Linked DNA regions of Caenorhabditis elegans. The protein of the gene in region 1 interacts with the protein of each later gene in a pairwise test. Each region holds a gene or a part of one and is shown on either strand. Other genes may lie near its edges.

The links. The genes of interacting proteins can lie anywhere in the genome.
Region 2: the proteins of sop-2 (region 1) and F49H12.3 interact in a two-hybrid assay, tested with the Caenorhabditis elegans proteins (one large-scale study listed by BioGRID).

The regions. Positions count from the first base shown.
Region 1 is NC_003280.10:12,336,321-12,346,311, reverse strand, and holds sop-2 (Polycomb protein sop-2), read right to left. Parts: upstream 6,369-9,991; 5' UTR 6,367-6,368; coding exon 6,277-6,366; intron 5,941-6,276; coding exon 5,874-5,940; intron 5,657-5,873; coding exon 5,161-5,656; intron 4,390-5,160; coding exon 4,044-4,389; intron 3,683-4,043; coding exon 2,807-3,682; intron 2,756-2,806; coding exon 2,693-2,755; intron 2,678-2,692; exon of another isoform or gene 2,624-2,677; intron 2,178-2,623; coding exon 1,902-2,177; 3' UTR 1,517-1,901; downstream 1-1,516. Other genes in the region: ras-1 (R-RAS related), read left to right, coding at 115-233, 500-602; C44C11.6 (Transcriptional regulator), read right to left, coding at 1,026-1,160, 1,446-1,478; sre-52 (Serpentine Receptor, class E (epsilon)), read right to left, coding at 8,219-8,411, 8,462-8,595, 9,208-9,336, 9,402-9,558. UniProt on the Caenorhabditis elegans protein: Polycomb group (PcG) protein. PcG proteins act by forming multiprotein complexes, which are required to maintain the transcriptionally repressive state of homeotic genes throughout development.
Region 2 is NC_003284.9:2,080,732-2,086,654, reverse strand, and holds F49H12.3 (Potassium channel tetramerization-type BTB domain-containing protein), read right to left. Parts: upstream 2,281-5,923; 5' UTR 2,280-2,280; coding exon 2,107-2,279; intron 1,973-2,106; coding exon 1,777-1,972; intron 1,731-1,776; coding exon 1,659-1,730; 3' UTR 1,598-1,658; downstream 1-1,597. Other genes in the region: F49H12.2 (uncharacterized protein), read right to left, coding at 1-156, 206-278, 327-425, 1,262-1,367; F49H12.4 (uncharacterized protein), read right to left, coding at 5,259-5,276.

The sequences.
Region 1 (9,991 bases):
TTGCCTTTGGAGCAAAAGGTCACGGTTCGACCCCCCAGAATGGCTATTAGGTTTTTTACACTGAATATGTTAAATTTCCCATAAAAAATTATCGAATAAAACCTCGAATTTCAGGTAGCCCGACATGAAGCCGAGGAGCTCGCACACCGACTCTCAATACCATATTTGGAGTGCTCGGCAAAAATTCGAAAAAATGTTGATGAAGCGTTTTTTGATATTGTGAGATTAGTCAGGTAAGAAATTTGAAAAAAATTAATTAAAAATCCCCAACTGGGGCTAGCGGGCTCGAACCCGCGACCCTTTGTCTCAAACCCCATCCTCTTACCGACTGAGCCATGCTCGAGTTTCAGATGAAACTTTTGCGTGCGTGGCTCAGTGGGTAAGAGGTTTGGCTGCTAAGCAGAAGGTCACAGGTTCGAGTTCTCGAGGTCGTTTATAGGTTTATAGGTTTTTCAACGCGCTGAGTTTGAATTTCATACTTAAAATCTCGAAATTTCAGAAAATACCAACATGACGAGCGCATGCCCATCCACCCCCATGACGATCGGAAGCTCGAATCACCGATCAAGCTGAAGAAGAAAAAGAATTGCAGGATTCAATAAACTCCAGAAACTCAATTAATCTATTCCAGTCCGATACGACATTCAACATTGGAAGATACTTCAAAAACCTTCAAAAAATGTGAATAGTCGAACCGGAGAGTCAATCCTTCATGACTTTCATACGATATACTGCACCCTCTTCTGAAAATTTTTAACTTGCTGCCTTTAAACTCCTTCTCTCCACTTCAAAACGGGATTTCTTTGGTTTTCTATTGCTTTTAAAATGTTTTTTTTTCCTCTGATTCTAGCCCCTTCTTGTACAGTTCCAACAAAATATTTATTCCATATCCTACCACCCTACCCGTTGTGCCCGTTATCCCGAGTACAAATCTCTCTCAAATTTCGACCAAAAATCTGATATGCGCTCTACTGATAGCCCTGTGAACCCATTTTCTTTTAGAGTAATAAAAAACGTGAGAATATTTATTTTTGTTCGACGACTGGTTGGGCGATTGCCTTGACGACTTGGACGGCTTCACGGGATGATGGTGAAGCTTGTACGGCCGAGTCTTTGAGCACCTTCTCGCGACTTGCACTTCTCGATCGAGATTTTCCGATCTGAAAATGTTTACTTCAGTTCAAGGACTCGAACCAGTGGCCTTCTGTTTGCAAGTCAAGCTCGTTACCCACTGAGCCATGCCGACAATTTTTTGCGGTGCTGTGCGGCCAGTGGCTCAGCCGGTAAGAGGCTCAGCTTTAAGGGAAAAGATCACAGGTTCGATTCCTGACGTCGGTGGAGGTCGGTGGACTTGAACCAGTGGCCTCCTGCTTGCCAGTCAAGCCTGTTACCCACTGAGCCACGTGTGCTCAGCCGGTAAGAGATTTTTTAATTAAAAATCTCACATTTTTCATTGCATTCACAGCGTTCTTTAACATTTTTGTGTATCGTTCGCTTTGTGGAAACCAGAAATGAATATTTTTTAACTTTTCATATACAAAATGTCATTAACATTTAAAAAACTCGAAAAACATTTAATCATGAGGGCAAACGTGAACAGAAAAAATAAGGGTAAAACGGGTATTATGACAAAAATCGATTGATTATAGAATATAAAACATGTCTCTGTGAGTATCAAAGGGGAATTTAATAGTTAAAGAAATTGCAATCAACTTACAAAAAATTAAAATTATTAAAAATTAGAAAACTGCTGAAAGTTTTCTATCATCTAAGTAGGTCCAAATTAGGTAACGAGGAATGGGTAAAGCGGTAGGAGTCAATATGCAAGAGCTTGAAATGTCAGAAAAAACAACAAAAATATTAATTTTAACATTAAAATTAACATAAAAAAATTAACAGAGTTAACGCTGCTGAGCCTTCCAGGCAGCCAACTCCTCATGGAACTTTCTCAAATCAGCTTGATACTTTTCCGTACGATAATGGTTGAGCACCTCAGTCCCATAGATCTTCATCTTCTTATAATGACCATATGGAATTGGTACCTCTTTTCGAAAATCATCGTCCAACACAAGACAGGCCAGCGTTTCTCCGTCAAACTCCTCGCGAACCATAATTGCAATAGTGGAATCCACGTTGTTGGTGATGAGAAGCCGAACCCAGTTGATGAGATCTTGCGCCTGAAGCATAATTGTTTTAGAATGTGTTAAGTCGAAATCCAGAGCCTAAGCCTGAGCCTAAGCCTGAACCTATGCTTAAACCTGAGCCTAAGCCTAAGCCTAAGCCTAAGCTTAAGCCTAAACCTAAGCCTAAGCCTAATGCTGAGCCTAAGCCTAGGTCTAAGCCTGAGCCTAAGTCTAAACCTGAGCTTAAGCCTGAGCCAAAGTCTAAGCCAAAACCTAAACCTGAGCTTAAGCCTAAGCCAAAAGTCTAAGCCTACGCTTAAGCCTCAGGCTAAGCCTGAGACTAAGCCTGAACCTATGCTTAAACCAGAGCCTAAACCTGAGAGAGAGAGAGAGCCTAAGGCTAACCTATGCCTAATACTAAGCCTAAGCCTAAGCCTAGATCTGAACCTGAACTTGAGCCTGAGCCTATGCTTAAGCTGAAACCTAAGCCCAAACCAGAGCCTAAGCCTACGCCTAAGCCTAAGCCTACACCTAAGCCTAAGCCTAAGCCTGAGCCTTAAAAAACTTACGTTCCACCTTGTGTAGTCTGATGTCTTGTTGGGCGGCAAAATGAGCGTAGCTTCGTGGTTGTTCTGAAGAAAATTGTAATTAAAAATTAGTCGTCATATTCTGAAAATGGTTACCTCGACAAGTGTAGGCATCGCAGGTGGAACTGGCTCCGTTGACTGTGGATCCCTGACGATTGGAGCTGGAGCTGAAGCCAATTCGACTTTAACCACCGGAACAGTCTGCTGAACTGGAGGCTCTTCTGGCTGGGATGCTGGTGGAGCCTGAGGAGCTGTGAGACGTCTCAGCGGTTGTGGCGGGATCCGATTGATGTGCGGGACCTGCTGAATGATGTTTGGATGGCGACCGGCTGTCGGTGCTGCTGTGGAGATCACCTGCTCTTGCTGCAGAACTGGCGGAGTTTCAGACTCTGGTGGGGATCCGGTAAGCGAGAAAATCATCGCCCGGATCTTTCGTGGGGAATCCCGAGAGTCGGATGAAGCTGGAGTGGCTGGGGTAGCTGGAGCATCCGGTGGGGAGCTGGAGGTGGATGGTGGGGCTTCTTTGGTTGTGGCAGTAGCTGGAACTTCTGGAGCTGCCTCGGATCTTTTTGGGATTTTCTCGGCTGGCTCGTCGACCGGCTCTTTCTTTGGCTCCACGAGCTTCCCCGATCCTCCAGATGTCCTCTTCTGACCTCTTCTCGATCCTCGTCTATTGCCACCACCTCTACCTCCACGTGCATTTCTTGGAGTAGATGTGCTCGCGTCGTTATCCACCTCCATCTCAACCTCCTGCTCCTCAGCGGCGTCCGAATCTTCAGGCTTCTTCTTCTCGGCGGCTCGCCTTGGCAGAGACTTTCTCGGTTGAGCAGCAGGTGTCTCTGGTAGGGGTGCAGCAGGACGACGGCGTGATTCGGGCCACATGTGGCCGAGTTCGCCGACTCGGCCACCATCCTTGGGTCCCAAGTCCATGCTCATAAGACGGTCCATTTCGGTTGTGCGGATTTTCTGAAACTTTGAGAAAAAATTTTAATTTGTTCACGAACCTTTTTTTTAGAACCTTTTTTCAATTTTTAGAGCAAATTTCAGCTTTGAAAGTTTATATCTCAATTGGTTTTTGTCTTATAAAAATTTTGAAAACTGCAAAAATGTTTAGAATTAATTTTTCTATAATTTAAAATAAAAAATAAATAGAAAATATGCATTAGAGATTCAGTTACGAGTTGCCAAAGTAAAGCTTATAAATTGCTCCAATTTAAGTTATCAACAAATACTCAACTACGAAATTGTAAAAAAATGCGGTAATTATTTTGTTAGTTAAGAATTTTTCGAAAAAACAAAAACCGTCCGAGATACGAGCCTTCAAAAAGCTTACCTTTTTTTTCTCGCTAGTCGGTCTGGACGCTTCTCCTTCTTTAGATGTATCCATCTCGGTAGCCGCCGACACATTTGACAGATCCACAGCCGACTCTTGAGGCATCTCTGTGGCAATTGATGTGTCCATAACTTCTGCTGCCGGAGCTGCTTCAGGTGTTGCAGGAGCTGCTGGAGCCGCTGGAGCCATCGGAGCCGCTACTGGAGTCTCTGGAGCCACCTCTGCAGCTGGTGCAGGTCTTCTAGAAGGTGCTCCGCGAGCTGCACCTCTGAAAGCACCACGATAGCCGGGCCGTCCTCCCCTCCGAGCTGCCATTCTGCTCGAGCGAGCCGCGAACTTGTTGGTTCTGAAAACAGTTGATTGATTGTTATCACAGAAAATTGAAACATTGCTAACAAAAATTGATATAACGCGCGACAAAAAACATACACACAAGGTCACACACTGCTGGGAAAACATACATCGTTCCATGTTTACATGAATCTCTGGCACCCTCTCACTCTCCCCCCCTATCACCTTCAAACTTGGCGGCGTCGGTGTGCGAGAAGTTGGCAATAGGGCGCGTTTGTTATCTTGATAAAGTGTAGGGAAATTTAAGCTCAAAAATTTCAAAGACTTTGATCTACGTAGATCTACAAAAAATGCGGGAGAAGAGACGCAGAGTTCTCAACCGATTTTGTATCGTTAAGAACGTGCTGACGTCACATATTTTTGAGCAAAAAATTCCTACATTTTTTGTAGATCAAACCGTAATGAGACCACGGAAAAGACTGATATGATCAAAATCTGGAAGCCAGGCCATATGATAGTTGTGCGAAATATCGCACTTTTTTCCCTTCCGCCATGACTCAGATATTGCTTATTGTCCGTTTCATATTGCAATATTGAGTTTTGTTATCATTAACAATCATCCCACGACATTCTTTAATATCTATTTTTTTTCTTAGTTCAAGAATTCTAAACGCCTGAAAACGGCCTGAAAAACGGCCTGAACGTAGCTTTATGCGTATAAAAAACCACCCACAAATTGGTTAAATGTATGCGCTTTTTGGGCTTTTTGCTTTTGGGAATAATATATTTGCTAATTAATTTTTTGTTCTGAAGCTCTAGTGCCTACCTTTGCAGATTTCTCATAGCTCCTAGATCAATCGGAAGTTCCTGATCCTCATCAGATCCATCATAGAACACCGGCTCGACTTCCCCTTCTTCCATCTCTCGAGAAGCTTGCTCCAAAATGCTCGTCACCCGCTTCTCCACATGATCCGGCTCGTCGGCCATCGGGTCAGCAGTCCTTTGCAATTGCTCATCACGATCGAATATCGTATCATAACGTCCCCGGTTGAGATAGTATTGGAGCTTTGAGCTGACTGGTAGTGGGACAACCTTCTCGTGGAGCATCTCCTCCTCGGCAGTGTTGAGCACTTTGATGATGGAGTTGGTCGGCTCGAACGTTTGGCGGGAGCACACGGCTTTTTCGAATTTATGAGCAAAAATGTCGGCGGACAGGCGTACCGCTTCGTAGAACTGAGATCGGGGGTCTTTGCCCTCTAGCTTTTTGTCGAGTTTTGCATAATATTGAGCTTCTTTTGGTAAGCTGCTTGATGAGCATTGATCTGAAAAATTATTATTTTCACTAATTGTAAGCAAGTTTCAAAAATTGAAGGTCTAGTAGAGCTTTAAAAAACTACAAAATTTTGGTAAATTTCCGAGAAATTCGGAAATTGGGGTTTTTTGAAAATTGGCAATTTGCCAAAACGGAGTTTATATTATAACTTGAGCACCAAAATTGCAATTATTAATTTTTCTATAATATATTTGAAAAATACTCACCTTCCAATGCATTTTCAACTTCGTGCTTTTCCGGTCGAACCACTTGAGATGTCGATCGTCGAGTGGACTGAAAGTTTTAAAACTATTGTAACTTATTGGGACGGTTAGCTATCAAAAAATTGTCAACTAATAAAATGTAGATAAATTTTGGTACTCCAAAGTGTTAGTTAACAATTTTTCCATATCTCTATTTTCCGGCAAGTTAGAGGGTTTTGAAGTTGATAATTACTAAATTTGTTTCTTTTTTTTTAACCCCTATATCTCATTGGAAAATAACTGGGCAACATTTGATAAAATATAAAAAATAGTTTAAAAAAATATTGAGCTGGGTATAAATCATTTGTTTTGTGTAAAAGTAGTGGAGAAACGATTATTTTTATTTTTAAAAATTTGTAAACTATACCTTATCCCTTTCATTTCCCTTCACAGCCTCCGGGGGCTCTACAATTGCAGATGTTGATGACATCTCATTACTGGTCAAGTTTGAACTCATTTCTTTTGAAAAAATTAATTTAAATGTATGTTGCAGTGAAATTCAATAAAACAATCTCCCGCTGAGAGGGGAGCGTCAAGATTCGTGATGGAGCGCGATTGCTCGTATAGTGGGGGGGGGGGGGGGGGGTGTATGGTACTTGGGATTTTGTTTCAAAAATGATTACACAAGGAAAATAAATTTTTAAATAAGTAGAGGTAGATTTTTTACACAAAAAAATCAATAAAATTCTGGAAATGTTTCTTTTCTAAAAAAAAAACTGTCAATTCAACTTTCAGACACTCCAAAAAGTTATGCCCGATCTTCACAATAAAAACTCGTATCTCACAGAAATTCGCAGAAAACTTTTAGATACCGGTAGCCTAAATTTGAAAAGAAAACTAAATTTTAACCAAAATGGTTTTAAAATAAAATTTTAAATACTTTAATTTTCACATTATATTTTCGATCAAAACACTAAAATAATTTTAAAAAAATAAAAAACGAAAACAGCAAACAAAAAAGTGCGAGTGACCAAATCAATCAATGCGAGTCGCAGTGGAGAGTGTGTGATGCGCGCACGCTCACCCCCACTCAAACTCACAGTCACACCTCCCCGACCCTCTTCTTTCACCACAGTGTCTCGTCGACTCGAACGATGATTGGTTTACGGGCGGGGCAATTGGGCAAAAGAGTGAGGAGATGATGGGGAATTGTATGACGACGAAGAATTATGTGGAGAGAGGAAGATTGAAGGGGAATAGTGCAAGAGAAGTTAAGCCCTGATTAGATATAAAAAGAGGATGGCTTATGGATATATGTATATGTATAAGGATTAAAAAAATACATTCCAATTATTTTGTGTATTATATAATTATATGTGTTTATAACAATCATCACCATAACTTATAGCAGATTATTCAATTTTTGGAGGTATAAACCAGGGAAAGGCGGCAATTGCCGTTCGGCAAATATTTCGTCGACAAATTCGGCAAATTGCCGGTTTGCAGATTTGCCGGTAATGTTCAAATCCGGCAATGTGCCGATTTGCCGGAAATTTTTATTTTCAGCAAAGTGCCGGTTTGCAGATTTGCCGGTAATGTTCAAATCCGGCAATTCGCCGATTTGCCGGAAATTTTTATTTTCAGCAAAGTGCCGGTTTGCAGATTTGCCGGAAATATTCAAATCCGGCAATCTGCCGGTTTGCCGGTTTGCCGGATGTTTTCATTTCGGTAAATTGCCGATTTGCCAGAAGTCTTCAATTTCGGCAATTTGCCCATTTGCCGTTTTCCGGTTATCAATTTGTCGGAAATGTTTAGAGGAATTTTATGTAAGACGGAAACCCTTAAAACTGTGCCTTTGTGAAATGTTTTCCCGTTTTCTTTAGATATTTTCATAGAATTGTCTACTTCTAAAAATAGATGTATGAGCATTCCTAGGATGAGTGCAATTTTTCCGATCAAATTTGAAATTTTTAAATTTCCAAAAAAAAATGTGCAAACCCACAATTTGCCGAAAATTTACAGCAAAGTCGGCAAATCGGCAATTAGCCGGTTTGCCGATTTGCCGGAAATTTTCAATTCCGGTAATTTGCCGATCTGCTGATTTGCCGGAAAAAATCTTTCGCGGCCCACCCCTGTATAGATGCCAAGGCTTTTAAAATCACAAGTTTCCGGGGGACACCAGTAACGTAGGAAAAATAATGTTTCATATTCTTTTTTTCATAAACTTTCGATAAAAATAGGGACTTTATAATTTTTCAATTTTTATTTTCAGACGGTTATTTCATGTAAGATTGAAAATATTGTTGAAATTTGCACTCAAAAAACTAAAAATTTTCAATTAAGTTCAAAATATTTATTATCAAAAAATCTCAATTCTTCAACTCCCACGTGTTCTGCAACTGATTAAAATAGAAATCGGTTTCCTGTGCCACATTCTGCCCGGATAACGAAACCGGACGTTGGCTCTTCAGAGCAATGCAATCAACTTTCCGGAAGAACGGGATTGCCTTGCTCCACGGGCTCACTGAGAGTATTAACACTGGGCAGACTATCAGGGGATTGCTGAAATTTTAAGATTTATAAGCAGTTTCCTTTGTTTGGAGGATACTTACAGATGCACCAAATTTTGAAAACAGAAGACGAATAACGTGCTATACGACGGAATCCATTTGTAGTTTATGGCTATAACACAGCAAATTCCTATAATCAGAAGGGAGAAGCCGACAATTATGATTCGAATTGTTAGCTGAAAATTGATTAGTGCAGTTTTTCCTGTTGCTTTGGTAATTTTTTTTAAATACCTTTGTTGGCAAATTACAAAAAAAAATTATTTTTTGACTTTTTTGAAATTCTGAATTTCCTAATACAATTAAATTTTTCTGAAATTCACAACTTTTGCAAAATTGGAAAAAAAACACTTATCAAGTCCCAATTTTTTTTTTGAAAATTATTTTTGAAAATTTAATGTTTGAAGTTTCAAATCGCCCACTAGGTACCCCTATAATTTATTTTTTGTCGAAAATTTTCAAAAGTGTTATTTCGCGCCAAAATATTTTTAAAACCAATTTTGTAATATTTAGAAGTTCACATAATTTTTTTGGAAATTTTTTTCATAGTTTAACATTTTTTTTCGTGATAATTTAAAAAATTGAACTTTCAAAAAAAAAATTATTTAACATTTCTTGCAACAACTATTGTTCACCAATATTTCTACTATTAATTTTTAAAAATTTAGATTTTGCGCAAATAATTTCAAAAACTACTGAAAAAAATTTTCGAATCCCGCACCATCTTTTGAAAAATTTTGCTACAATTTTCTGCGATTTTAGAATTTTTTGCGAATTTTCAAAAATCTCACCTCAAAAGCTCTGACATTCTCTTTTGCCTGAAACCTTGCAGCCAACGTGTAGAGTTCTATGCTTTCTTTGGTATGTTGTTCGAATTTCTTGAGCAAGTTTTTATTATAGCACCAGTTGGATATGAATATCTGAAATATGGATTTGTTTTAGTTTATAAAAATAAAAAATTTAAAATTCAAAAAAATAAAATTACCACAACTGCCAATATAATAAACAAAAAACAAACAATAAACCCTAGGAAAAAGTTGATATGATTGAAAAAACAAAACCAGTGCATCACAAAAATTATCCCATGCTGGAAAATCAATAAAGCGCGGAAAATCCGCCAACGGGAGGTTCGCTCGTAGTCTCTGAAAAAATCAATATTTTGCAACAGAAAAAATGTTTTAAAAACTAGTTTCGGGAAAAATCGGCGGTGATAGCAAAAAGTGTATGCCTATCGACCTGCCTACGCATTTGCGCATGTCAGTGCCTACAGGCCTACCTTCCGCATGTCCAGGTACCTTTTCACCCGCTTGCCTACATTTTTGTGACTAGTCTATGCCTACAGGCCTACCTGCCTCATGTATCTTTTTATCAGCTTGCCTGTCTACGCTTTTCTGACAGTCAATGCCTACAGGCCTACCTGTCTCAACTATCGTTTTACCTGTTTACCTGTCTACGCTTTTGCGCATGTCAGTGCTTACAGGCCTACCTGCCGCATGTATCTTTTTACCTGCCTGCCTGCCTACACTTTTCTGCCAGTCAATGCCTACAGGCCTACCTTCCTCAAGTATCAGTTTC
Region 2 (5,923 bases), on another chromosome or scaffold:
TCTAGAAACTCATCCATAAAATGAGTGTCACTAATGGATATGGGAGTAATGTTTGATGATTTCTTTGGAGGTGGCTCTTTCTTTTCCACTTTATGTACTTTGTCATCTGGCGGTGTCTCTGGTTTCAAATCAGAAGTTGAGTGTGCATCCTCTTCACTGAAACTTTTAGTCTTGATTTTGAGTTTAAATTATTACAGTAAGATACTTAGAAATCAGGCTTTGAGTGTCCGAAGGAGTATGTATTGCTGGTGTTTCAAGTCTATTATTCTCTCTTTCATCTGCAAAAAATACATTGGGTTCTTTTTCTTTTATGACCTTTCACCCACCAATTTTCTCCAGATTTCGGTTTCGCTTCCTTAATTGGTTTTCAAATTCTCCAGGCCAAACGACTTTCGGTTTTTTTGTTGGCTCGGCGTCTACCACATCTAAAATTGAAATATATAAGTTGTAGGGCAAGAGGGTTTGTACTTTGTGACTGGAAAAATTGAACTACATTTTTTTTAAAATCAGCATTCAGTTTCATTAGGTTTATCTTACATAGATAAAGAGCAATTTTAAGCTTCAAATGATTTTTTTCGTGTTTTCTGGCTAAAACCATTGGTTCTCTTTGATTTTTCCATAATATTTGATTAGAAACATTTTTTGTCAATTTTTAAACATTTTTCCGTGAAAGTAAATTGCGGAAAGTTCAAAATTTATCTAAAATCGGCAAGTTAGTCTGAAAACATGTCAAAAATGACGTCGCTGACTTTTACGGGACTACAAATTCACTGTTTCTTTGATTTTCGTAAAATTGAAAAAAAAATCATAAAAAAGATTGACAATCTTTTAAAAGTGATATCTGACATACTAAGATTGTCATTTAGAGCAGAAAAAATTGACTCTAAGCAACATTTCAAAAAAGGATAAAAAGCTATTTTAAACCAAATTTCACGAATTGCCCCCTATTGCGAAATCGCTCGTAAATCTAGAACAAAAATTTTAATTTAGTTCTTGCAATATCTTTTTTGTAAAACAAAATCAATAAATTCTGAAAGTATAATTTAATTTTAAATCTTGAAATTTTTTTCTGAATCTATTAACTACAAAACTTAAAAAAAGGAATTGACAAAAATTTCGTCAGTTGACAAATTTACTAGTAAAGGAAAACTGGCAATTGAGATGTATGTTGTGAAAGTTGGCCCACGGTGTGCAATACTAATAGAGAAAACACGGCATTTCGTAACAATATAAAACATCCAAAATACGTGGAAAAACTAACCATGATCCAAGTATCGCTTTCTAGTCTCGTCATACTTTTCTCGATTTTTTTGTCGCTTCCGTTCTCCCTGTACCCAAACATATCGTTGAAAATCGCCAGCAAGCATTAAAAAAAAGTTTCAAAATCTTCGGGAATAGTTTCAAAAAGTGGTAGACACGTGCGTTTCTAAGGGGATTTTTTGTTTTGGATGACTTGCTAATTTTTTGGCAGGGGGCCACGTTAGCAAACATACATTGGTTGTTGAAAAAAACGGAATTTGTTACCAGATAAATAATAGTTTTGTAGAGAATTGAATACGTCAATTAGTGAAAGTAAGTAGTTAATTTTCCACAAAACCGCAAAGAAGAATTCGTTTATTCTGTAGCTTTTATCACAAAATATAGATTTATTACAGAATTTAAAAATCTTCTTCATCCTCTTCCTCTTTTTTGTCAAATCCTTGCGGGCAACTTGTGCTTTTGGCAAGCATCTGAAATTCAACAGATAATTATCATAGTTTTTAAGTATATAAATACCTCGTTTATATAGTTGGAATCATTTTTATTACTACATAGCTGAAGCATGCAGATTGCTTGATCACGTAGTTGAGGCAGAAGGAAGAAATCTGCTTCCTGTGTCAGCATTGCCAACCTGTCTGGGTCTTTTGGTAGACAGGCTTCCCAAAGCTGTCCAGCTTTCCGGAGACGAAAATAGTTGAGCACGACGCCGAATCTGAAAGAAAGTATTTAAAGATTTATTTTTTTTTTTCAACTACAATATATTATAATTTCCATCGTCCAAATTTCCAAATTACCAAATTACAATCATGAGAATAATTTTAATAAATACCTTTGTGATTCACTTACGAAAATGGGTCTCTATCGACAAAGTACGCGCCATCTCGGTCGCTTGTGAATGGGGACGCCTTTGTTCTTGACACAAACCATTTGTGGAAAATTGAGTCAACTGGGAAAGTCGTCTTCAAGGTTGCCATTGGAGTTCCTCCAACATTGAAGCGAATTATCAGTGTTTCGGACATTCTGAACGAAATTGTGTACATAAAAAATTTGGAATAATAAATTCGTAAAAGATTTAGTTCAAAGAAACAAAAGAAACATGTTAAAGTTTCTGTTCTTGGAAAAGATGTACGAAGAAAGACAATTCTCATGAAATGTTAAGCACAAAATGTCATTGGACATCTCTCAAAGGGCACCACCACTTATTCGAATTGAGCACAAAACAGAGTGGGGGCCCCTCTGCCACCCCACATTTGAGATTCATAAGCCGGTGAGAGAGAAACGAGAACGGGCGAATACATATTTGAGAGAGAAAGAAAAGGTGGTGTGAGCCAGCAGCGTACATGCAAATACGTATGAGCTCTGCGTATTACTTGCTCAAATGTGAAACGTTAATGTCAGCAATGATAAAATAATTGAAAGCTATTTTCAAACAATCACTATTCAAAAAGTTAAAGTTTAGATTTTTTTAAATTTTAAATTTTTGAACAGGTGTATTTTTTTGACGAATGTATAATAAGTGAAGAACCTTTAATATAGATTTAATTTTAAAATATGTATAATAGTTCAAATTAGTCATCATAGAACACTTGAAACAGTTTTAGATTTTTTAACATTTCCAGTCAAAGTTTTGATGACTTGCCAAATTTTCTGCGTTGTTTTAGCCGACGGCCGACTACCAAAACATATGATAAATGAAAACTAATTTCACCAACTGTTTAATTACAAAACTGAACATTTCAAAAGTTTTCCCAACAGTTTAACTGCGATATTTGGACATTTTTGAATTATAGGAGCATTTAAAACTATATTAGCATTTTAGCAATATAGGAGCACCTTTAATTATTATCTACAACACTATAAAAGCAATAATTTTTTTTTCAGTATTTCAAGTAATAGAACCTGAACACATATTATATTTCAAAAAACGGATAAAAAATTGGATGAATCCATTTTTATCTATCAAATGCTCATTTGATAAGCTTTAGATACACTCCATATTTCGCAATACTAGCACGTTTTGCACATGCACACTAGAAGAGCAGGTGGTCAAATAGCTCGGTGTATTTTCTCATTTATTATGTATTAATTTTTGGAAACAATTTTCAGGAAACAATACTGGCACAATAAGAACATTTTCACATGCAATCGTTCCCAAACAGAGACCACCGCAAAAAGAAGAGTAAAAAAAAAGGATTTGACGTATCACGGGAAATGAACTAAACTGAACTCAACTACCGCGCCATTTATTTGCTGTCAGACAATGGGAAACGAGAGGAAATGACCCAGAGGTCTTCTTTTTCAATATAAAAAATAACATGGGAAATGGAACTGCCATGTTTAGCTTGATGCTCCACCAATCTTTTGCTCGAATCAGAAAGGCTGTCTCTTTTGGGCATTGAAATTTGATACAAGAGAAATAGAAGAAAGAGTGGAAGAAACACATGTGAAGTCTAAATTCTGTGAATAAGTGCAAAATGGCTGAAGCGCGAGAATGAAATATGGTTGAAAAGAAGGAAGAATGAAAGGCCTGACTGAAGAGGCGCGCATTTCATGCCCAAATTACACCTGACCAGTTTTGTCGATTCTCTGCCCCGCTACTTTTTTTCCATGTTACTATTTTACTGCAGACATGCTATTTTAAAATCATTATTCTTTCACGATTATTAGACTAATATCGAACTTGGATTCGGCAGTTAAAACTACTGTTACTTGCATGAATTTTATAAATTGGGATATTTTTTGTAACGTGTTCTTTGAACGAGGTATGTATTACGATTTCTAGCATATGCTGAAAAATTAAAAGTTAGATAAGTTGTTTACTAAACCATGAAATCTTAGGTAGTTTTTTTTGCAAGGCAATCAAAAGCATTTTTGCTGAAGACCATTTCAAATTTACGAATTAAAAAGTTTAAGGCATTTGTTGAATTGGTGTAGCCTACCTGAAATTGACTGATATTTCAGCAAATTTTGAACTTCACCTTTCAGGTATTCGGTATTTATAAATTTTTAGAGGCATTTATGTGTTTTTAATTTTACAGAATCTATGAAAATATTGTTTTTGGAAATCAAATTTCTGGCAATCGACGATTTTGGCAATTGTTGTGGGCCTGCTTCAAAGTTACAAATTTTTTACTGCAAAACATATTTAATATATTATTTTTGCGAGATTTCAAAAACTGTAGCATCAAAATTGAAAGTAACACTGCGCGCAAAGTTTTTCTCAATTTGGTAAGTCACAAATTCAGGTTAAAAAAAAGAAACACAATTTTTCCTTGTTGAATCTCCACTGTTCGTTTATAATTTTTCGGCATGCAGAATTGAAAAAAAAATTCCGCACGTGTCTCTAAAGTCAACTGTGGTGCTGCGGTGTTTAATTCACTCATAACAAAGGTAGGGACTCCCTCGAAGAACTGTATGGCTTCATCGAATTTGTCACTAACTTTCTGTTCTTTGAAAAAATAGCTCAATAGATTCGTAAACCACCAGCGTGATTTTTTTAATATCTATAACGTTTGGAAAATACTTCAAAAAATTTTTAAAGGTTCTTCAAACTTTGCAAATATTAGTTATCGAAAATGGCGTTTCAAACTACACTAGAGAAAACTTTCACTTTATAAAAGTTAGATTTAACATACGAATTATTAGTTGTAAAACTCTTTTTTTTATCCACCTCATTTCTAATAATTTCAATTTGTTATACATTGAAATTAAGGATGAAGAATTTATTGAACAAGTCTTGAAAACCAAAAGTTCTTTATAAAATTAATATTTGGCATATTTAAAATTTTCCAAATATTTACAACATAGACCATTAACTACATAAACACAGGGAAACCAGTTCAGTAATACTATCCATCATGATAAATAATTTTTAGATCGTTAAAACATGAGATTTAAAAACGAGAAGGATAATATACAGGGAATGAGAACAAAGCTTTTTCAGGTTGAAAAAAAAACCGGTAGAAATCAGTCCATAAGAACACATTGTCTAATGAAATTTACAGCAGAACGGATTCCTGAAATTAGAAAATTAATTTTTTGGGAGGTGTAATGGTTCTGGTTTTTTGAACGTAAAGACCCAACAAGTGCTCAACTAAACAGATCTCATAATTAAATTTCCCAAAAAATTCTCATAATGGAATTGATATTTCCGGCAAATCGGCAAATCCGCATCTTGCCGGAATTGAAAATTTCCGACAAATCGGCAAACCGGCAAAATGTTGATTTGCCGAAAACGGCAATTGCTGAAAAATTTTGGCAAATTGTGGTTTTTCGCTTTTTCTAAAGATATTTCAGAATTCCAATTCCAATCAGCAACTCATACATTTTCCTACATCTATTTTGAAAAGTAAGCAAAATTTTCAAAAAGGTACAGTTCTAATTGTTCCCGTTTTATAAAAACTCTCTTTAAACATTTCCGGCAAATTTGATATCCGGGAAATGGAAAGTCGGCAATTGGCCAAAAATGAAAATTTTAGGCAAATCGGCAAACCGGCAATTTGCCGAATTGCCGAAATTTCCGACAAAAAGGTTGCTGAACGGCAATTGCCGCCCACCGCTGTTTCCAACCGCTGCGATATGGAAAAATTACCAAAATGTTTTTTCGACATTTTGTGAACCGCCATATAAAATTTTTGACAAATTTTTTGAGAATTTTCATTAC